4 linked regions of the Neodiprion lecontei genome follow. The protein of the gene in region 3 purifies or fractionates together with the protein of the main gene of each other region. This does not show direct contact. Links are inferred from orthologs where the notes say so. Each region holds a gene or a part of one and is shown on either strand. Other genes may lie near its edges.

Evidence for each region.
Region 1: the proteins of serine/threonine-protein phosphatase 6 catalytic subunit (region 3) and mitogen-activated protein kinase kinase kinase 7 purify together in Homo sapiens (affinity purification with western blotting; 3 studies listed by BioGRID and IntAct, with this or other methods). This does not show direct contact. The link is inferred for Neodiprion lecontei from reciprocal best matches to the Homo sapiens genes PPP6C and MAP3K7.
Region 2: the proteins of serine/threonine-protein phosphatase 6 catalytic subunit (region 3) and TIP41-like protein purify together in Homo sapiens (co-immunoprecipitation; 4 studies listed by BioGRID and IntAct, with this or other methods). This does not show direct contact. The link is inferred for Neodiprion lecontei from reciprocal best matches to the Homo sapiens genes PPP6C and TIPRL.
Region 4: the proteins of serine/threonine-protein phosphatase 6 catalytic subunit (region 3) and serine/threonine-protein phosphatase 6 regulatory ankyrin repeat subunit A purify together in Homo sapiens (affinity purification with mass spectrometry; 9 studies listed by BioGRID and IntAct, with this or other methods). This does not show direct contact. The link is inferred for Neodiprion lecontei from reciprocal best matches to the Homo sapiens genes PPP6C and ANKRD28.

The regions. Positions count from the first base shown.
Region 1 is NC_060260.1:31,603,836-31,609,713, reverse strand, and holds the start of mitogen-activated protein kinase kinase kinase 7, read right to left. Parts: upstream 3,269-5,878; 5' UTR 3,132-3,268; coding exon 3,054-3,131; exon of another isoform or gene 3,035-3,053; intron 2,468-3,034; coding exon 2,242-2,467; intron 1,703-2,241; coding exon 1,585-1,702; intron 1,454-1,584; coding exon 1,124-1,453; intron 892-1,123; coding exon 779-891; intron 568-778; coding exon 161-567; intron 87-160; coding exon 1-86. Other genes in the region: brefeldin A-inhibited guanine nucleotide-exchange protein 3, read left to right, coding at 3,577-3,661, 3,731-3,864, 4,831-4,965, 5,097-5,262, 5,345-5,474, 5,640-5,878. UniProt on the Homo sapiens protein: Serine/threonine kinase which acts as an essential component of the MAP kinase signal transduction pathway. Plays an important role in the cascades of cellular responses evoked by changes in the environment.
Region 2 is NC_060265.1:5,357,513-5,362,662, forward strand, and holds TIP41-like protein, read left to right. Parts: upstream 1-2,262; 5' UTR 2,263-2,412; intron 2,413-2,675; 5' UTR 2,676-2,677; coding exon 2,678-2,856; intron 2,857-3,033; coding exon 3,034-3,213; intron 3,214-3,290; coding exon 3,291-3,513; intron 3,514-3,593; coding exon 3,594-3,752; intron 3,753-3,840; coding exon 3,841-4,041; 3' UTR 4,042-4,128; downstream 4,129-5,150. Other genes in the region: TWiK family of potassium channels protein 7, read right to left, coding at 944-1,210. UniProt on the Homo sapiens protein: May be a allosteric regulator of serine/threonine-protein phosphatase 2A (PP2A). Isoform 1 inhibits catalytic activity of the PP2A(D) core complex in vitro. The PP2A(C):TIPRL complex does not show phosphatase activity.
Region 3 is NC_060262.1:30,903,002-30,909,518, forward strand, and holds serine/threonine-protein phosphatase 6 catalytic subunit, read left to right. Parts: upstream 1-2,023; 5' UTR 2,024-2,096; coding exon 2,097-2,165; intron 2,166-2,312; coding exon of another isoform or gene 2,313-2,324; coding exon 2,325-2,420; exon of another isoform or gene 2,421-2,423; intron 2,424-2,510; coding exon 2,511-2,718; intron 2,719-3,044; coding exon 3,045-3,124; intron 3,125-3,231; coding exon 3,232-3,337; intron 3,338-3,680; coding exon 3,681-3,842; intron 3,843-4,180; coding exon 4,181-4,371; 3' UTR 4,372-5,527; downstream 5,528-6,517. Other genes in the region: dynamin, read right to left, coding at 1,203-1,366.
Region 4 is NC_060264.1:23,667,006-23,672,938, forward strand, and holds the start of serine/threonine-protein phosphatase 6 regulatory ankyrin repeat subunit A, read right to left. Parts: upstream 3,363-5,933; 5' UTR 2,992-3,362; coding exon 2,968-2,991; exon of another isoform or gene 2,955-2,967; intron 2,926-2,954; exon of another isoform or gene 2,907-2,925; intron 2,859-2,906; exon of another isoform or gene 2,675-2,858; coding exon of another isoform or gene 2,672-2,674; intron 2,380-2,671; coding exon 2,255-2,379; intron 1,804-2,254; coding exon 1,546-1,803; intron 961-1,545; coding exon 765-960; intron 613-764; coding exon 423-612; intron 297-422; coding exon 50-296; intron 1-49. UniProt on the Homo sapiens protein: Regulatory subunit of protein phosphatase 6 (PP6) that may be involved in the recognition of phosphoprotein substrates. Involved in the PP6-mediated dephosphorylation of NFKBIE opposing its degradation in response to TNF-alpha.

The sequences.
Region 1 (5,878 bases), on a different chromosome or scaffold from region 3:
TGTGTCTTTGGAACCATTTTGTCCAATCCCGCCATGTTACGTATCTCCCATGAAGAGTCATCGGATGTGGTTAAATCCCAAGAATTCTGAAAATGGGCATCATAAAATAAATAAGAATCAACAAATTTGACAAGTAAACCCACATATCGCGACTACTTACTGGATTACACTCTATCTGTATCGGCGAAGTATAGTCGTTTAAAACTGATGGTGATAGTCTGGTTCGTTGAGTCACAGGTATACCTCTAGGAGGTCTTTGTGGCGTGAGATCTGTTTTACCGCCAGTTTGTGAGTTGGGCTTAGAATTATTCTGAAGTCCAAGGAACTGTGTTCCAGCTTGGTTCAGCCTAGGTGTGAGGTACCCTGTGTTACATTCAGTCTGCGGTACCTGAGACTGTGACGAGCTGGTTTCTGGTTGTGTAAATTGAATGTCAGACATAACTTGATTGTCTGTTGGCGTTGGTGTCTGATTTGTACCATTGCTTACAGAACCATTGATTTGTGAGTTTAAGGTACTCGGCATATCCAATGTGTCATCAGCACCATCTTCCTCATCCATTTCACTGCCTGAAAATTACCATGAAAATGCAAAATTCTTTACTGTACAGGTTACTTGGATTTTGTATTTTGTATGAAATAGCATTTACTATAATAATGATTTGTTTTCTCTACTAAAAAACCCTCATAAGACGTAATTTTTTCATAGTGCGTTCTTATCATCTTTTTTCGTTTTTGATAATCTTAGTTTAAGAAGTGTCTATGGAGGTTTATAACATACTTAAAGAATATTCAACAGGATCCAATTGACCGTTGAAGAACTCTGAAAGAGTGGTCATAATTTGAACAACTTCATCCATTGACGGTCTCTCTTCTGGAACTTTTTTCCAACACCTAAAAGCAACAAATAAAAATGAGAGAAAGTTAATATAGAGAAAAATAGGAATTACAGATTAAATTTTGGCATAATGAGTAACAGTCGAACTCTACATCAAACACACACGTTCATGTCAAGTGGATTTATGACTGGACAGTACCATAAAGTACCATAAGATATTGAACTGTGTTCGAAGATTTTTTCTTAGTGTAAATAGGAAGATGCTGTAACAAATTAATATTTACTCACCGGGTCATAAGGTCTTCTATCGGTTTAGGACAACCATCCATCAACGGAGGCCTCTGCCCAATATGCACAGCCCACATAATTCTGTATGCAGAACCACCAATGTCGTCGAATGGCTTTCTACGAGATAAAATCTCCCACAAAATAACGCCCCAGCTAAACACGTCACATTTTTCTGTATACCGCGATCCTTCAAAGACTTCAGGCGCCATCCAAGCAGCAGAGCCTTTGTTATTGGTCATGTAAGTATTCAGATCGCAGGCTGTTCCAAAATCACAGATTTTCAGAGTCTGACCACCCAGGATGAGAAGAAGATTAGGAGGCTTCAAATCTCTGTAAAGTTTCCAATAGTCAAGGTTATAGTGTCTGATAGAATTTCAATTATGTCCATGTTTGAAAGTGAGTGGCTCTTAGAAACACAACAACATGTGCATAGCTATGTAATGATTAAATATTTGACCAACCTGTGAATTAATGGTTTTGGCTTCATGTTGTGAAGATAAGCAACCCCACGAGCACACTGGAGTGCCCAACTCATTGCATGGCCTGCTGTGTAGTAAGGTTGTGGATTACAATGCAACACTGTAACATTAACACATTATAGTTATAAAATATGTGTGTATTGTAAAGAAATTTTTTTTAAAAAAGCAGAAAAAGTATCAATTCTCAAAAGATACGTACACAGCTCGAATGTAAATGGAAGAATAAAGCAGAGAAAGTATCATTCACGTATAATTATTAGAATGATGGGACAGAGCAGCCTTAAAGTGAAATTTGAAAACTCAGTAATGTATGCTGTATTTTGCAGATCATTGGTGTTTTATATTCAGGCACTGCATTACTCCTATTTCATAGATAAGGTATCAAGTAAAACCACTACATTTGTTTAAACATACTGGGTTGTACTCAACAACCAAAATTATTTCAAGCAACTCTATTCGCAATTGATTAAATAAAGAAATACCATGATGTGATACTTCTGAAATAATACTTATCATTTACAAAGTAAATCATTTTTTAGGATGCATGGTCATTTTTTGGATATGTGTATATTTCACAAATCATTAGCTGGATGTTAGTTTGAATTAACACTAGTGTACTATAAATTTTCAATTACTTGCCATTATATAAAGAGCCACCCTCAGCATACTCCATAACTAAACAAACTGGATTTTTTGTACATGCACCATAGAGTTTAACAATATTAGGATGTGCTACTCTGGATAGCTGGCGCACTTCGACGGTGAATGCCTTCCTCTCTCCCTCAGAGTTTATGTGTTTCACCGCCACATACTGACCTCTCCATCGTCCTTTCCAGACAACTCCAAAGGAGCCTTTCCCAACAATCTGTTATCAGAAACAATTACTTTTTTACTTTACTGTATTAGTTAAAGGAAGTTGGATCGCTGACATAAAATGTCTAAACAAATCATGAGGCGCGTATCAAAGCTGATTAGATGAATTTGATTACACAGCAATGGCTGATATCTCTTTGTAAATAAATGTTTTAATTTTAACTAACGTTAGCTGATCTATAAAGCTTGTTCGTTGATATTGTATAAATCAATTCACTCTCTTTTACAAACGCGAGTTCTATGCACGTCAATAATAATGTTTACTGATGAATAACGGTGAGCAACAGCCCGAAAGTGGATGGACATATTAACAGTCAGGACTCAGTTGATTGATCGAGATAAATAATTGAGTGAAAAAAATATTCATGTATGTTTATAGAGACCAAAATGTTTTGGAGACGAAGATGTTGTGAGGTTATGTTTTCGCAATAGATTTTTATACGAGGTTCATTGATACGATATGGAATTTTACGAGTGCTATTTATTTAAGGGTAAGTTATTTGCTACAAAATGACAATTTGGTGAGGGTAAACATAATGAAAATGTGCGATTTTCTTACACAGATATCACAAGATTACCTCCTGTGTTTCAATTTCATTGTAGTTAATTTCTTCAACAAACTGTTGCTGATGGCCAGTTCCTTCCTTGCTCGCCATCACATACCGTCCGCATCACATTATTTTCAGGCCGCATTTACCCAGCTAACGCAAATTTTTCACAAATATTTATTTGAACTGGCATTCAAATTGTTTCGCCATTTGCCATTTTTCGTCTTTCTACCGACGTGTTTGCGTTGTTTTGAGACGAAGTGGGCGTTCTGTAATACAATTGGTCAAAGATATCAAACCTGCAATGGCGATCGCAGCGGCGCTGCTGAGTGGACGAGCGTGCAGCGGAAAATTTGAGAAATATCAAAAGCAGAACACTCGCGATAGTTGTCGAATATAATCAATTATTAGACAAGATTTTAAGTAAATAATATAATTCTCATATCGAAATGACTACGCCGCGTTGTTCCGAGTTTATTCTGGACTCGTAGGACATTTTTATCTCGTCTCCGGGTTCTGTACTCGCTTTATCGATTTGTTGCATGGTTCTGTCATGGAGGACCTCCTGCTGCAGATCGTCAAGGAGGCTTCGCACGCGAAATTACCAAACATACGTAAATCGGCGCAAGAGGCACATGGTGAGCTAAACATTGAACATCTTATCTTATCCATTTTTTGATTCTTCACTCACTTATTTTCTCCCACAGATTTCCTGGACAAGCAGCAAGGTCTATTGCGGGATCCCCCGCACGAACTGCGGGCGAAATGCCTCCACACCTGTCAGCTCGCTCTCGAAACAAGGAGAAGCAAATTTGTCGCCTTTGGTCTTGCTGGCCTACATGTAATGCATTCTAATGATCCCGATATTCACAGCTGTTCGCTTTATTTCGCCAGCTTTCCTTATCGCTCGTACATTGCCTCACTCTCACTGTGTAACACCCTCGTATTTGCAATAACCACATCCTGGGTGGTACAATTACTGATAGTGCTTTCACCATATGATACTCACTATGCTACACAGCTAGCACTCATTCACATTTCTGACGCTGACTGATTTTTTCTACTAATTACTGTTTCGACGATAACTGTATAAAAATATTTAAATTATATTTCGAAGTGAAACTATACTTTAACTGAAAAAAATTGTTCCAAGAATATAATTAATGTTAAAATTAGATCATTGTGCCACAAATTTTTGTTTTCAGAATTCATGATTTTTTGTAAAATACTTTGAGCAGCTTGACTAGATTTAGAAACTCATTCAGAGCTGTGTTATTTAGCAAGTTACCAATCGATATTCAGACAGTAGTTTTTGCTTACCAATTGATTGTTTTTACATGTCTCCTTGCAATTTCAGACCTGTTATGCAGTGAAAGTTGATCAATAAGAAATAGGAAACTATTTTTTTTGATTTCAGTCTCTTTCTCCTGTTATGACAGCGTTTTGAATATATTCTGCAAATTTGAAGCTCATGCCAAATGATTTTTATTGCAATGGGAGAAGCTCTAAGTTTTTTGGTCACGGTTTCGACACTGATTACACAATATATAACATATTTTTACTGACATATCAAGCACTCTGCTTATGTTTCACTTATTTGCTCATGTCGTTTTTTTAATCGACTAATATATAGTGTTAAATTTGACATTAAATGTTTCTAAGATAATTTATACTTATTCGCTTCAATGAGTTATTTTTTCAGGATTATTCGAACAAACATTTTGTTTCTAATTGAAATTGAATAGAATAATTTCTTATAGATATAAGTGGTTATATGCAATTAATGTTCATTTATGTCTTATGGCAGAAAATGCTGAGGGACGATAGATTTCAGTCTCCTTATGAGCCGGAGGATGATTCCTTGTGGCTTCCAGCTCAAATGCTCCATACTATGAGTTCCATATTATCCCAGTCAGACGATGCACAGACAGACATGCTAAAAGTAAGTTAGTTGTAAAATTGAAAACAGAAATGAAGAGCAAATACAGTCTAGGCTGTTTTTACCTGTGATTCATTTTAAACCAATCAAATCATTAATATTATTATTGATGTTATTCGTAAAATTTTTCCTAGGTGCTACTGCAAGTTGCATGTTCTTCATATTGGACAATGAATGGTCGTCTCATTATTGCTGTACTAACAACTTGTAGCGAGGCCTTTGAAAATGGAAACCAAGCAGTTAGAACTGCGGCACAGGCAGCTACCAGCCAAACTCTTCGATCCTTCTGCTTATTTCTAGGCAATATGAACAGATATTTAATTGCTTAGGATGTAGTTTAGTATACACCACAAATTTTGACTACTAAATATTTTTATTACAGATGAAGAATGTCAAGAAATGGACGAGAATGCCAAGAAGAATAAGAATATTCATGAAAGAGGGGTATCTTGTTTTAATGAGGCGATACCTATACTACAATATATCTGTAGCAAATTAGATGAAGCTCAAACGTAAGTATTGCTGAAAAAAATCAAACGAAACATTTACAGTTGAACTTCTGTAGAAAAAAAAAAATTCATTTTAATATTCTTCGAACAATGTCACCGCAGTATTAAAATGTGCACTTATTACTGCAAAGTTAAGTTTAATCTAATATTTTTCAATCATTATTCCAGAAACGGCCGTAATGGAACAACAGTTGTGTTTCTTCTAGAATGCTTGCACACATTGATATCATCTCTTCCGCAGAAAATCCATACTAATGCACACTTCACGACATTCTTGTGGCAAAAGTTTTGCCCCGCGCTCATAGCTTTTCTGGGTACTCCAAGAGTTGACAAAACATTTATATCCAGGGAAGGAAAAGATACGGAAGTTGGTAGAGGGTCAGGCTACTTAGCAACAGCTTTGAGTT
Region 2 (5,150 bases), on a different chromosome or scaffold from region 3:
TTGGACTGGGTTCGATTATAGGCTGTATGACTCCATAGAAAGTGCTCAAAGTGACGGAAAAAAGCCCAATTTACCCCGTGCAGACATCGTGGTATAATCGTATATATTTACGTTGGTTTGAGGATCATTAAAAGATTATGCTGATCTCCGGTAGTTTATCCTTTCGAGTTTTAAATGCACCGAAATTGCCTAGCTGCGAATTTCAAAGATATGTAACATATGCCTACGTATACAAACGACTTGGCGTGGGCGTGCCACATTCTATCTGCCTAGTGGTACTTACCTTTGAAATATTGAGAGGTTTTTATGATTCCTCGAAAAAGCATCGTTTCCACAAGTCTGACGATAATTCTAGAAGCGGTTGAATTTGTGTTTGTATATGCATACCGCGACGCTAAGGGTATGGAGAACCGAATATCTATTCAGTTGCTAGGATAGTTCTCGAGTTCAGCTGCGTTACTACGGCAGTTTCGATAATTCATTGAAACAACAAGGAAGAACTTTTTCAACCATGCCCTAATTGGACTAACGAGAAAACGGGAATTTAACTAATCAAGTGTATTTCAATCATCCTTCAGGTCGAAAGCAAACCGCATACGATCAGTCCGCTGAAGAGGCTTGTACAAAGTTTACCTATTGGTCTCGCGTATCAAGTGAGTGGTAACATAAAAATAACTCTTCGAATGTGAACATTGTATGAAAGACGAAGGAAGATAAATGGGTCAAACAAACCGACTGCCAACTGTTAGCAAGGTGGTATCATTCAGAAGAGACTAAAACAACGTCGAAGAAGCCTAAATTATAACTGAGGGGTGAAGAAGAAAGAAAAATAACTAATCACTCTAAGAGCGAGTAACTGAGGTTTTTCAATCTTGAATTCTCGAATCACGCTCATCATTAAAAAATTTTAACAATTACAAGAATTTCAGACTTAACAACTCACCACCCCGCCAACGGCAGTGTAAAGCATCAGGGTGAATAGCAGCCCAACGTGACTTGCGACGGACTTGAATTTCCGAATAGTTTCCGCCTTCAAGAACTGTCTTTTTACCGAATTCACGACACTCGCTTTCCGTTTCCCTCTCTCCGTTTTTTCACCCCTGGATTGCTTTCCTTCGACCTCTGAATCCTCGGGTTCTTCAGGGTCCTCCGGTTCACCCGATGCTCCGTTGCATCCTCGAGTCAGTTCCGTCTTTTCGGAGACAGTCATCGCGGAGTTAATTTAACCGCAGTTCGTTGTTCGCGGTAATTTATTTGCAGCCACACGCGGATCAAATATGTATTTCAGACCTAATTCTATAAATTGTATGACTATTTTTATCTTCGAATCTTATTCCGCCAAATCGAGACTATCCACTGTCGATCGCGACACAGCTTGCATGGTTCTCTTCTTTACTCGAATGAGAGTACAACGCATTGTGGGGACGTTTCGAATACATAAAAATTCCATAACATCTTCAACTACGTCTTATTCATTCGCTGGGCGCGTTATCGCTGGAATCGTTTTACAGCTTCGTGAGAGTATGAATAATAAATCGTAATAGTAAAAACAGAGAAATCAATCTCTAGGGCGAAAAATAGATATTGCGAGAAATAAAATCACTTGCAAACGCTCGGTTACGTATGGGAAGCTGGTCTGCGTTAGCTGCGATTAATTATAATCTTGCACTGGAATTGTCATTTGGAAAAGATGCTGTTTGGGGAACCGCTTTAAAGCGACTGAACCAAATCTATCCTCCGCAGATAACTGTCGCGCTAAACTATCTCTCTGTCCATTCGACTTAACTGTATCGCTAGCAGTCCGAGGGCTGCTCCAGCTTGTCGAAACACGCAGCCGCGCGTTCAGATCTCGCGAGGATCTGGCGGTAAGCGCATCTTGTGCGAATTCCAAAAATTCAAATACATACATGCTTATAAATGGATATATATTCGCATAGTCTGTGTTACGAACACGCAGTCGTAATCTAATTGATGCAATACTATTTTTTCGTAACTACTCGAACTGGTATCAAAGTTATTGTAGTATTATTTTCCAGAAAAACCTCGCTAATTGCACCCACCTGCAGTCTCGTTCTGCGTTGCAGGCAAATGGAGCAACCTGATCACATGATATTTGACATCCAGTGAGCGATAGTACGCGAATTATCAGACATTCGGCACGGATTCATCCCTGTGCAGTCAAGATGGTATCGCTCTAAACAATACATGGTGATAATTCGCATGAATGTAACACATGCGACACATGCGTAGTCGGTCTGCACCGCCAAACTTGTCTGAAAATGGCGGGATACGGAAGAACTAAAATCACTGTGTCAACTGTCGAGAGTTAGTGAAAAAGCCGGTGGTTTACTGAAACTTTTGTGAGGTTTACTAATTTTCCGGATGTTTTAATTTTTCCATAATTCGTCGCAGGTAAAGGGATCGATGCCGTGTTCTATTTACCAAGATTTTACACCCGACCTTTATTTACACCGGTCGTCCGGTGTCGATTATTGGTCTGTTAGTCTAACGGAGAGGTTATGTTGTTGCCAAAGGCGAATACGCTGTTTAAATAACACCTTATTTCTAATGTTGATTGGATTACGCCCTCGATGATAGAAACCCGTCGACAAAGATTTTATCATGATTTTTTTGAGAACATTATCCGCAAGTAGGATTTCACCTTCTTATTACAGATATGACGACGGTGAAAATTCACGGAGGCATTGATATCCTGCGACTCCCTGTCAATGAAGAGGAACATTTATTTCCACCTTGGCATTTAAAGTACACCCAATCTCACATACTTCATTCAAAATGTTCGCGAAGCGAAAATGCCTGCGGAGACAATGACGCCGATTCCTGCCAGTTTTGTGTGTACGTCATAGTTATCATAGTCTCAAGATTCCATATGATTGAACATGATTATTCGTGTTGAAACTGAGATGGCTGTATGGAATATGTTATTCCGTTCTTTTCTTATTTACCTGTTTATTCATCAAAATACGAGCAATTTTGCGAAACGAAATATGTGCTGAGTAGAGAACGTTGCAGGTTTAACAGAACATTGGACCTTCCACATATGCCTGACATGGTATTTCCAAACAACATATTAACCCTGAAGTATGAGGACAAAGCTATTATAGAATTCAATGCCTTAGATGCTCTCAAACGAGTTTCTAATGGAAAAATTAATCTTCAGCTGGCCTGTGCCGAGGCTTGGAAAGAGTCGAGGTATTATATTTGATGTCATTTTTAAAAATTCAACTGGTTACAGAGTACATTCAATAATTATGTACTATGACAAATAGATCAGAAAGTAGCGAATATCTGGAAGAAAAAGTAAAACCATTTGATTGGACATTCACAACGGATTACATGGGTACCATGAAAGGTTTCGATGTCGTTGAGACTAGTGAAAAAATTGATGTTAATAAGCTGAAACAGAAAGAAAAAATACTGTTCTATCATGATCTGACGTTATTTGAAGATGAGCTTCACGATAATGGAATCGCTGTATGCTCCGTGAAGATTGTAAGTTTCTTTTGAATATAATTATTGTTCTAACATACAATTATCATCAATACGAATGATTTCTTTCATGTGTTGTACAGCGTGTGATGCCCAGCAGTTTTTTTGTATTGTTACGTTACTTCCTACGGGTGGACAATGTTATGCTGAAAATTAACGATACGCGACTTTTTTATGAGTTTGGCCAGGATTACCTTTTACGGGAATTCACATCCAGGGAAGACAAGGTCGCAAATTTGCGAGTGAGTCATGCTTATTATTATTATTACTATTATTATCATTATTAAAATTTCTGTAAATACTGGTTTATTGTTAATAATTTTTCCTTAGGTATCACCTGTAATATTCACAGAACCAAATGAAATAGCTCAGTATTTACCGATAACCAAAAGTAAATGTCACAAGCTAACTATTTCTGAAAAATCAAACGTTAAACCGGAAAATCTTGCTACGCAGATTGAATCGACATCAACATTGGGCACTGTATCCAGTACCACAACTACGTCAACAACGAATAGTGTTTCTATGTAAAAAAAAATATATTGTAATGGTGTGAACTGTGTTGTTTGCTATGTGAACTGACATACAGGAAAAATATAGGCAAATCTTAATACCAGATGTTCATGTTCGAATCAATAACATTCAAAAAGGCATAATATAACTTATTCTATTTCCTAACATCTAATGATTTGTCTATTGCTGCTTCTTATCTATGAACTGTTGCCACGATACTTTTTTTTGGATCAAAGTATTGATGCACAGAACTCAGTTTTTACTATTAAAATCGTAAATATAGAAATCATTATCATTTGACGTAACTAATGGGTATGCAAATACACAAAATGAAATAAAAAATAAAAAATTGTTACATAATTTCTCATTATCAATATTTCAGTACAACAATACACATCCCATATTTTTGCTTTGATAAAGTAACCCATTATATTTTATTCAAAGTGTAGATATCCTCATTAGTGGGAAGAAGTGCCTATCTTAAAGTATATGCCGATAATCTTGATGAAGGCAATTGATTTCAAGGCAAAAATATAATAATCAAGTTCACGTTAGATATTGATGATAATACGATAATCAGACAATAGTTAAATTACAGTTATATCAGGTTTGGCATAAGTTTATAAGCAAATGTACACGTATAATTTGTCTGTGATTTTCAGATTACCGTCCTATCAATAAGTATTTTATCGCAGGTTTTATTAACACGACTATTACACATGATATTATATACATATTATCACTTGATTTTCTGAAATTGTAGTGAACTGTACTGATAGTACCATGTTCATAATCAATAGCAAAAAGACTTGGAAAGTCTCTAACACTCTATTGATGGTGAATGCAACAATAAACCAGTAAACGAGACAATAAAATTTATTGCCGTACAGAGTTATATCAAGAATCATGCTACATGATAGTTAAAACTTCATGATCTAACACCTGACAACAGTACTAGGCATGTTGCGTGCGTGATAAATATCAGTCCATGAAGTAGGTTTAAGATTTTAACACTGAGTGGGGACAACCGAATGATAGATATACGAAGTGCCAATCATAAATTTGTGAAAGATACTTTGCACTCTGATCAGTTATCATTCAGTTACCTACACCATTCAGGGTACATT
Region 3 (6,517 bases):
AGAGTGATAATTCTTCACCAATAACAAAATTTCTACAAAAATTTGGGTGAAAGAAGCATTTGGCAATCTTAAATTTTGGAAAATATTGAAATATGACGCTGTATTGATCTGTTAGGAAAATTGCAAATGCCAATATAGGGTGATTCTTTATCTGGGCTCGTATCAGTCTTATTTATTTACTGTGGAAATAATTATTCTTCACAAAGCACAATTTCTTTCAATAAGCGTTTATGTATGAATCGTTAACGAAAGACTGATTAGAAAATCGATATTCAATAAAGTAATTCTACATTACAAAAAACAACTGTATAGTTTGAAATACACAATCAAGCAAAGTAGAAACTAATTTGAAGTTATCATTGATTCATGACTCCACTTACGAAGACACCTTTGTTTGAGAATGATCCAATTTTTATTGAATTTATGCTACATCGACAAATCTTTAATCAGAAAGACAATTGACTAGCAAAAAATTTCAAGAAATCTTATGGCATGGATAATATATCGTGGAAAATCGTAAAAATTGTAACCAAATTTGGGCACTGAGATAAAATTCGGAAAAGAGACCCAAGAAAATTTTTTTCTTTTTGTAGATTTATTTTTCTGCACATGTCAGCACTGTTGAGTCTAATTTTTTTCCAATCAATATACAATTTGAAAGTGGTCTTGAGGTTGGATCTTTCTTCATCGGTGTCGCATGTCGTTTATTTGTTCAATTGTTTGCCATTTTTACATCTAGCTCTTTTTCTTTTGTTACCGTACAAAAGTCGCGTGTTTCTCAAGCCAACTTTCATTTGGAATAACGGGTGAAAGATAGCGTGAAAACAGGCTGACTCATATTATCAATTGTTAGATCATCGGGACGATTGAGACTTTAGAATAGAGAATTAGAGTCTGGACTAAATATTCGCGAAGGAACTTGATACAGGGTGTCACTCGAGGCGAGTGGGCGACCGGGGAATTTCGTTATTGACCCTGGCGACCCGTACGTTTGAAATTTCCCAACTGTCAAACGCGTTGACGTATCGTTAATTCCCAGCATCGACGGTATTATTATATTGACGGGACGTTTAAGGTCGGCTTGGTAATTTGCCACGCCTTGCGTTGTATCGGAGCAAATAGGTTAAGAATAACGATAAAAAAAATTAGCATGGATTCGTCGATAATTTCGGGGCGTTGATGGATGGAAGGATCGAACTTACCTGCCGACAAAATTTTCCAGAACGGAACTCTTGCCAGCACTTTGTCCGCCCACAACAGCGATCTGTGGCAGGTCGAGTTGCATGTGCACTCCGAGCTGAGTGAACGCATCTTGAAGCTTATTTACAATTGGTATCAACTGTTCCATTCCCGTATTGCCTGACATTTTGGTTAATTTTAAGTTATCGTCGGCACTTCCTCGAGCAACAAGAGCTATTCAACGACACTGGAAAACAGAATAAAAGCGTATCAGCACGGAGCCGCGACCACCACCTCCGTCCGACAGGGTAGCAGTAGAGCGGTCAGAACTGTCTCTCACACTGCTCGTCTCTCTCTCGATAGAGCAAAATGGCTGGGCCCACGATATTCCTTGAGCCGATTCGAACTCCGAACCCGAGTGTTTTCACCGCATTTTTAATACCCGGAGCCCGATTCTGCGAGCGAGAAACGCGCGTTTCAGCAAAGTTCCGTAAGAAAACGGACAGAACAGCAACACTGCGAGTGCCCTACGCCGCGATCACGCAAATGAGATCCAGCATCAAGATTCTGGACGTTAACGTTATAATCGATAATCGAAGCTTGCGCAGTGCCGCCGAGTTTCTGACCCAGTTTTAGAAACGGAAAGAAAATCTATACAGATAACGACGTAGTGAATAGCGTTTCGTTGACAGGGGTATTTACCAGCGTTAAAAGACACGTTTTATACAGTTTTTCAATCAAACAGTTATCCACAAAATTACCCGGAGTCGGTGAAATTTTTAATTAATAAATATGATATTTTTTAAGCAGCGCGCTCTTTCTTCCGGAATATATAGCGATAAGCCAGTCACAAGTACCCTGTTCCACAGATAGGTGACAGGGCAGACCCGCTATTTCCGCGACATTACGAATCCAAAATGTCAGACATCGATAAATGGATTGATATTGCAAAAGAGTGCAAATACCTACCAGAAAATGACCTCAAGGTAATGAGCGCATTTCATTGACGATAAATAAATATTTACTGCTCGTATAATCTCTCGCCGTACTTTCGAAATACCAATTTTCATGAAAATATTTTAGGTTACATTTCCCGAAGTATTATCTTTGAATAATTTAACTTGTACTTTTACCTGTTTATACAGAAATTGTGTGACATGGTTTGCGATTTGCTCCTCGAAGAATCCAATATCCAGCCAGTATCGACTCCAGTAACCGTATGCGGTGATATTCACGGACAGGTGAGCTACTGCGACCCAATATAACCTCAAAACTTTAGGGCAGTACTTGTTGATGCATATCCCATAATATTTGTGCGTCTTTCATGTCAGTTCTACGACCTGGAGGAGTTGTTTCGGAGCGGAGGCCCAGTACCTGATACAAATTACATATTTATGGGAGATTTTGTCGATAGAGGATATTACAGCTTAGAAACATTTACCCGTCTGCTAACACTAAAGGCCAAATGGTCAGACAGGATAACGCTATTACGAGGAAATCATGAATCGCGCCAAATCACACAAGTTTATGGATTTTACGGTAACCATGTGCTCTTCTATTTACCATTGTAGGATCCAGTAATCTCAGAGCTTTGGCTATACGTTAGGATGGATCTGAAGCCCAAAATATAATTAGCAAGTTTTCACGCTGCGAGCATGCGGTTGATTTTCGTTTTAGTATCTGTTTGATTTGCTTTTCTTTCAAGCCTTACGCTTCTTTCGCTACTGGAAGGAAATCACATAATGTTTACATGCAAAATTTAGTTTGACGAGCATGGGAGTTAAATGTCAGCTTTATAAGTTATTCAGGTTGCCTGCCCCCAAACTTTTTTGGAATTTGACTCCAGAATTCTCTTTCCTTCACAGATGAGTGTCACAATAAGTATGGAAATGCAAATGCGTGGAAGTACTGCTGCAGAGTATTCGATCTTCTTACAGTAGCTGCTGTGAGTATATTTATACATTAATGCACCATGATTTTCAGTACAAAAGTAGTAAAAACTGAAAATACTAGATACGTAATAATTTATTTCAACGAAATTTTTTCTTCTAGTTAATTGACGAACAAGTGCTCTGTGTTCATGGTGGTTTGTCACCAGCTATTAGGACTCTAGATCAAATTAGGACAATTGAAAGAAATCAAGAAATCCCACATAAAGGTATGAACAACTATAAATCAAGTCTATCGTATAACAATTTGAGTAAATATTATATCCATCAAAAATATTATGTAATGATTAGGAACGCTATCCTGAAAACTTCCAGTAAGCATTAAGTTACTCAGCTTTGCACTTTTGAAACTGGTGGGTGAAGTTCGTTGCCGAAATCTTGTCAAAGCTCATGGAATGCCAACATTTAAATAAATTTATAAACACAAAAGTGTACTGCTTTCCTCTATATAAGAAAAGTTTTGGTTCGATTGCCTGCCAAATTTGACTGTCAGTTTCAACTTCGTATGTGGCCAACTCGATTGATATTTTCTCATTCTTTATTTACTTGCAGGTGCTTTCTGTGATCTAGTGTGGTCCGACCCAGAAGATGTCGATACCTGGACAGTAAGCCCACGAGGAGCCGGATGGCTATTCGGAAGTAAAGTTACTCATGAATTTATGGGTATAAATGATCTTCAACTCATATGTAGAGCACATCAGTTAGTTCACGAAGGTAAGCCCTTGCGGTAATAATAGTTAGGTTATTATTTTGTTTATCCAATATATTATTTTTCTTTGCTTCTTCAACTAATCGTAAGCATATTGTTACTGTCGAAAGAAACTAGTCAATAATTTCGTATCAAGACATTTGAAATTTATTTACCAAATGCAATATCTCATTGCCAATGAAGTCGCCAGAATTCACTAAAGTTGAAAACTATAGATTTCAACTTGGTATAGCAAACACAAATGCACGTACGGCAATAACTTGATGCTAAAGGATCGAAATATTCTTTAAATCGTTAAGTATTATTCATATTTTGTAAATAAATATAACATTTACCTTTGTAGGGTATAGATACATGTTCAATGATAAGTTGGTGACAGTTTGGTCGGCGCCAAACTATTGTTATCGATGTGGCAACATAGCCAGTATTCTACAGTTCACAACGGTGGACCAGAGAAATGCGGTGTTATTCCAGGCAGTGCCAGATGCCGAAAGAGTGATTCCCCCACTTACGACAACACCTTACTTTTTGTGATCTAACTCGGCGCTCCATCTGTCTCGATGCAGAGGAGCGGCGTCGGGATCTAGGCCTCACGGAGATACATGACTGCTCCTTTGTCAATGAATTGGGCTGGTATTTTGACAGCATGAACGAATGTTCTTGTAGTATATCATAATTTGGGAGGTTTTTTTATACATCAGTTTATCATGAAATTCGTAGTTTTTGTTTTCTTTTTTTTCCGTATCAAGATATATTTCCGGCACAATGATTGTGCCCTTCTTTATTGTTCAAGTAAAATTATATGTAAAGGAATTTATGACCTTGTTTTTTAAAAAAATTTTATACGCTAGAAAGTTGTCTGTGGTAAACTATACTGAGAAATATAATGATATAAAAAGGTTCTGCCATTGCATCAGCCTGATCTGTTTACTTAAAAGAGCTTCTGTAAAAATTCAACAACGACATTCTATGGTCTAGATGCTTTTGCTGCCTACTGTGTACATTCTGTAGAGCATTCGCACCTCAGAGCAGCAAGTTGGACATGTTTGGTCGCCTGAGAGCTTTTAAGTAACTTATAAATACACGAAATGTCATTGGTCCAGTGATGTAAAGGGAAATAACATAGAAAATATTATTATTCAAACATTCCGACAAGAAGTGGGCTCTGGGAACAGTGAATGCTTCTTCGACATTACAGTTTACTGTGTCTAGAATTCAGGTTTCAAGAATGCATAAGCCAATGTCGTATCGTTAGGGTCTTCCCGAAGATATTAATAACTTGATTCTGTTCTAACGAGCTTCGTACCGACTATTATTGCTAATGCTAATATTGTATCTTTATCTTGAATAATTGTACAATAAAAATAAAACAGTATGATCACGGATGGTCCGGTAAAAGTTTAGCACATACCATTTTACTTGATGATAAAAAAAGCATTGCAACATTTTTGTACGAAACATGGCAATATTTTATCGATAACCAATTCCTTGCATTTCGTAAATTATATGATGGCTTATTGATATCAATACATAAATGTTTTATAAATGTTTAAATTCCGTGGATCGCAATAACTGATACTCATAAAAAAAAAAAAGACACATTACTTTAGGAACGATGGTAACCATAAACTGTACGAAGTTGAACGTAGTATACAGCTAGTTCAGTCCTTTCCGTGACCATCTTGATACAGTTGAAGCAGAGATACCACTTTGCCAAATAAAAAGAAACGAATAACAAGTATGAGTGTACAGTTTCCATATCATGTATTCATATGCCAAATTATTGTTGTATTAAATAATTGATAGGTAGATTATCATAAGTTTATTAACGTAGGGAGCAATTTTTTAAACTGAGACCCTTAGCAATGTGCCTCTAAATTAATAAGCGTTTGTGTAATATAATAATGCATAATGAAAATACATGGATAGTATTAACTCACCAGCTGCTGCTGTTGCTGTTGCTGTATGTAACAAACCTGAATTCTGGCACTCTTTGTCACTAATTTATGATACTCCTACTGAACTCACAAACGAAAGAATTATAGTATAAAATGGCACTAGCTGCCAAATCAAACCAATATACAATTTCAAATTTTATCAAATCGACGGAGTAGATCTGCTCCGAGCAGATCATATAGAATTTATATCGTGCACGTAATGCGTGTTCTTTGTTACAAAATCATGTCAGTTCTCAAATGCCACGTTACAGTGCTTTATTTTTAATGCAATTACTGTGAGAAATTCCTCAGCTTGGCATCTACACATTATAGAGTTATATCAATATCTGAATTTCATGTATCCGTAAGAATGATAGACATTTATATTGCCTCATATTACTTGCCAACTGACACAGAATCGTTGAACAGTCTGTTTTAAAGTGACAACAACAGTATGCAAGTGTCTTTTCTCGTTTCCCCCTGTTGGTCATGATAAAAATACTTTTGATATAAATAAAGAATAAAGACTTGAATAAAATCATTGGCTTGAATGGATGTGGGACTAATTAAGACATTGGGACTCACGTTATAAATTTTATAATCGCTTCGGCAGCATCTGATCCTTCGTAGATATGAAAACGTGAATATCTATACGGTTCGTACTCTTGGGAACCTTATAGTATTAGCGCCTACACCTGCTGAGGTACTTATCACATTTGCCTCCGTATCTCTCTATTTGCAAA
Region 4 (5,933 bases), on a different chromosome or scaffold from region 3:
AGTATTCATTGGACCTCAAATATTTCCTACAGATATAACTGATAAATACCACGCCGCGATATGCAAAGCTGTGTTTCCATTCTTATCACGGGTGTCAACCGACGCTCCTCTGTCCAGTAGACTCTTGGAGCGTGTAAAACGACCGTGAATGGCGGTCACATGCAACGGAGTACGACCATCTTGAGATTGAACGTTGATTTGGGCACCAGAAAATAGTAAAACCTCCAAACATTCGACACCATGCACACTGGCGGCAGCAACGTGCAGTGGTGTTTGACCACGGTAATTCAATGCCTCTAGGAAAAGGATAGACGTAATATCGCTTTATATTGATTTTTGGAGGTCACACGTTCTTTAATTATGCAATTTCTGAACCAATTGAAAGTTGTTTTCTAATTGGGACAAGCTTTGTACTAGCTTACCAATATTTGCGTTGTGGTTGATCAATTCCGTCACAGTGTTCGCATGCCCGTTGAAGCAGGCTATGTGCAATGGCGTATTTCCATACACATTCTTTGCCTCAATATCTGCTCCGGCGGCAATGATTATACGGACGCAGTTCACTTTTCCTGAAGCAACGGCGGCATGCAGCGGAGTATATAATTCACGATCCTTGGCAAAAGAGGGTGATGTTTATTGTAATGCGATAATGGGAGTGTATATAAATTATGAATTCGATATTGAGATGTTATTGAGTATTTGTGACGTTTGTGAAATCAGGGTTGCTTGTATTAATTTTTGGGGAACAAAAACTTGATCTGTACCTTAACATCGACCGATGCCGTGTTTTCCACTAGTAATTTGACAATAGCATCGTGACCCATGTGGGCGGCGTAATGCAAGGCTCTCCGATCTTTCTTGTCGCAAGCGTTGAGAATGCACCCGGGTTGAGATACTAAAAGCTTCGTCATTTCAAAGTGTCCATTGTAGGCGGCATGATGTAAGCTCGTTCTTCCACCCCTAAACAACAGTTTCAACAGACTGTACTTACATTGTCTAAATTTTAAATGTGATAATATAAGAATGAATAAGTTAAGAAGTAAAAATAATGTTGAACAACTAATTTTGTTAGCACTGTTAGCTGTTGGCAATAAAAATAGTTACATCAAAGCAATTAGAATATTCGATTGTCTACCAAATGATCTAAAAACGTTTCAAACTGATAAAAGAAATTCTAAGAAAAAATTAACAGATTCGATTAGATTTAATATATAATAATTAAAAAATAACTCAAGGTTGTAACTGTTGACACATGGATATTAAATAGCATATTGCTATATGATCAGATGAATACCCTCTAAATCAAACCAGTAGGTATTTAGTTGTTATATTTAGTATTTAGGTCAGTAGTATTATTATTTCTCAGATCTATGTATAGGTGATTTCAGTTATATATTACCTCTACAAGGTTTTACTTTGCAAAATCCATATCTACACTGAGAAATGTTTGGTCAAATAAATAAATGTAAGTAAATAAAAATGTCACACCAGTCAAGCAATTTATGATTACTAAAAGAATAAATAGTCAAAAAACAAACCACTAACCTGTCTGTGACGTTTATGTTTTGCAGAGGGATGAGACTCTCTGCGCATTGTATCGCATTATTAGCAGCAGCGACGTGCAGCGGTGTTTGCCAATTGCGGTCACGAATATTCACATCTGCCTCATACATCAGCAGTACATTAACGGCGCCCCAATTACCTGAACGGCAGGCTCGGTGCAACGGTGTTAGCCATCTGTTGTCTTTTTGGCTGACAAATGCTCCCCAAGTTATTAACGACTGTACGACGGCTGGATCTCCCCTGCGCAGAGTCAGAGTTTATTCGTTATGTCCCATTGCCACAGGATATCTTTATGATTATAAGCTTTACACGTCGACCCTAATATATTGTTTGTTCGAACGAAACGATGCAGTACTGAAGGAATATGTAAAAATAGTACGATGGGAGTATGGGTTAGTGGGAATAAATATTATCTCAAAGATAAGATCTGAAAGAGATGAAAAGAGTAGCGATAAAAAGACCAGAAGATGCAAGACGTCATACTGGTGATAATGCTGACACAATGATAAGGGCGGATAATAAGTCATTCGTAACTCTCGAGGACGTTCAGCGTTAGCGGTAGACTTCTAGGCTTATAGACTATCGAGTTCAAACCAGAATAGATGAAAGATATGGTAGAGTGACATATTTAAATGCATCGCTCTGATTGATTGGACACACACGGTTGTGTCAAAGTAGATGCGTAACTTACATGTAAGCAGCTGCGTGTAAAGGAGATCGTTGTTCAGAATCTCTCGAATTTACACCAACTTGTTGCACCAGCAAAGCCTTAACCTCTTCCAGGTTGCCATTGAATATAGCTTGGATCAAGGGTGGCTGAAAATGCGAAACAATATTTATGAAACTAAATGAGTCATACTGAATAATTCTGACTAGTGGTCATATTGGTAAATTTTTCATTTCAGGTATCCATATGTTGGTCTGAGTATCGAAGACACATCTGTTTTCGTGTTAACGGGATGTACTTAAATTTTGAGTTGTCTGGTCAAGTTTGACTAATATATTGTCTTGATATCTATACTCGATCGCATCTGCGATATATAAAGATTTTACCGGTCAGCCGATGATCAGGTGCGTAACTTGAAAATTTCACATTGATTCTGCTCACCATTAAATTACTGTACTTTTCTTGCAATTACAAGGATCCTGGCAAGTCACACTGAATGAACAATATTCAGAAATGATTTGCCCCAGTTGCCTTAATACGAGTTTGCCTGGCAACCGTTGTGATTGACTTTATTCAAGCATATAAATCTATCTCCGATTACAAGTATGCAGGTAATTTGAATCTGCGTCTAAATTAAAAGGGCAAAACTTTGCTTAATGTAGAGATGGACCCTAACCTAAAAGATGTAGTTTCGTTTGATATTGGTAACAATTTTCTGCCACACCTTTGAAACTCACCTCGTCGCGAAACATTTTTAACATGTTTGTCAACTAATCAACGTTCATAAGACGCATCCGAAAGTTATTGACAATTAAGTAAACAAACTGTTATCTGCTGTCACGTACCGCACATTGGAAAAGTGAAATTTGAATTCTCGTCGCATACGAGTTTCCCGATTTCAATAACAAATTGAACGATGAAACAGTAATTACTTGTTTTCCACGATCGACTCATGAAAATTTTAGACGGAGACCAACGGTAAATGGTATCCGGAACCACACTTGTGTGACAAGAATTTCCAGTAAATTGTTCATTTTTTATTTTTATTGCAATTGACTATCAATTTAGCCTCAAGCACAGTCGCGTTCACCGCGTTGACAGAAGAGCGATGGTGATTCATACAGGACACACAAGAGAGTCCACGCCACGAAGTATAGATACAAGGAGTCTGAACGTAATGTTGAACGAATGGTCGTAATTTAGGGGACAGATTTTTTTGCCGGTAGAGTGCGCCACTTTTTAAGAAGCACTCGTTTAAATTCTTACGCGGGAAGTCTTGTTGCTATTGACACCTCTCTGGAAAAAAATATTCTGAGAAATGTGGAATTAAATACAAAGTTTTAGGATTTACATTTAACTTTTCTCTCCGTAGCACTTTTATTAAAACATTTGACTAGAAAATGCCCCCGCATTATTATGAAATTGTTAATTATTTTTTTTGTTAATTCTTTTTTATGCTCGTCACAGCCAACAAAAATTGATATATTTCTTGTCGTATCGTCATTTATATCAGAGATTGTTGAAGAATCATTATTTAATAGCAAGCTACAATTGTTTTCATTGTCGTCATTAGTATGTGATTTTGGCTCAGCTTTCTTCCTCAAATGAACTTTCTGGTATTCATACACATATACACTACCATCTTTTAAAATCTCTCGATCAGTTTTAATCACATTCTCTGGATTAAAGTGTAATTCGCAAATAAAACTGCTAGCTTTTAATTCTTGTCCCAAAGCTGAGCTCCGTTTACTACGCAATTCAACATCCTTAAAAGTAATATATATTTTTATATTTAAGCACATAAATAAAAATATTTTTCAAATATTAGAAAACTACATAAATTTTAGAATTATTTGTTAATAACACAAATTTTCAATATTATTTTGAGGTTACTCACTTTTGGTGCTTTGAATAAAGCTACTTTCTCTACATTCTCACTTGCCTTTCGGCCACTAAGACAACCATGAACAGCACAACACCTACCCATTGTTTTCTTAAAATTAATTTTAAATAGATAAATTTTTATTTTATATTTAATTTAATTAATTTTAACATTCGCGAGCTAGTATATGGTGTATGTTTACGTGTAATAATAATAATAACAACGGTACGTCCTGAGTACTTGCGCAGCCAGTGGCAGAAAAGAGAACTATGATTTAGGTTTATTATTGCGTACATTAATACTATGAAAACCCCGATACCGTTCAGACTCCTTGTATCTATACTCCGTGGTCCACGCTCGGATTTTTGGCATAGAGATAATATTGAGGTAGACTGAGCAAGGCGTCGAAAACCCGAAACGCGCAAGGAAAGAGGGGCGCCATTCAGAAGCAAGCTAGACAAAAATAGAGAGTTGCCAGCAGAGCTCCTTCTCTTTGTATGCGGGACTTTAGTTTCTACTTACACGCGTGCTCATACCATTGAAATATAATAATTATAGACATATAATCACTGAACTCTATATTATAATATTATAATATAGATATAATATAACAGTACTGGAACGCTCATTGCGTGGCTCGGTATACGGCCATAGATTTATCGAGAAAGACTGCGTGGTTTGAGCACCGAGCTGAGACTCTAATTAGAAAGAGAAAGTAACAGCGGCATCGTACCTCTCACTCTAATCGGTGACTTGGCGGGAGAAACACCTAGCTTATACATGTTATGCTCTTCCCGGCTGGCGGCTGCTCCTCACTCCTTCGACCGTGCAGCAGAGAGGTCGGATCCCACTATTGCTTTCTCATTTTAATTAGGGCTTCAGCTCGGTGCACGGATCGCGCAGTCTATCTCTATAAGTCTATGTATATGGCTCGCCTTCAGGAGAAAGAAATAGCTTGGAAGTGAAGTTCTATCTCTCTTGAACCGATACAGTCTTTTAAAAAGTTTGTACACCGGAGATTAGTGCCCCTTTTGCACGCGTTTTGTTTTGCAAATCAGTGACATTACATTTTTGCTTAGACTGTCCCTCGTATGCGCAGTGGCCAGTAGAAAGACGCAACACTTCACCTCCGATGTATTATAGGGACTGTCCTCCAAGCTATCACTCTTTCCGGAACCCTCGCTGCCGCAGTGAGCGTTTATTTTATCTCCTATCAGAGAACACTTACCGTGGCGAAGTGCCGCAGTCGTCGTCGAAACTGAATAATAAATTGATGGCATAACAAAGGATAAAACTGCAGCATGAATAAATATTTGACGAACTTTGTAAGCTTGCAATTTACTGCAAAACATTGTCTATCATCTACTACCCAGCAGACACAGTTATGTAACCTTAACCCTTCAGGACATGGGTTATGAGATTTTCTCTCATGCTCAACGTAGATCTCAAATATCTTTTAAAATTCAAATGGAAAGACTACTTGAAAATTTTTGTATCTTCCTATAATTTAGTTTTCTAGATACACATTCACTAAAAACTGTTTTTTTTTAAATCAAAATTGCGAAAAAAAATAATTTTTTGGAGAACATGAGATTTTTTCTCATGGCCAGAGTATTAAAGGGTGAGAGATTTTAGCTTTCGTTTCTTTTCGGCCTAGTTCGGGTCGTTCCGTAGTATGCGTCCGCCATACTTGTTTACATGATACATCTACCTGAAGAATAATTGTGCAATGTTGTGCTGTGTTATCTGCTTTTAAAAATGTAGAATTTATAATTTAATTGTTGATATTCATTAAATGAATATTATTAAAAGGTGTTAAAT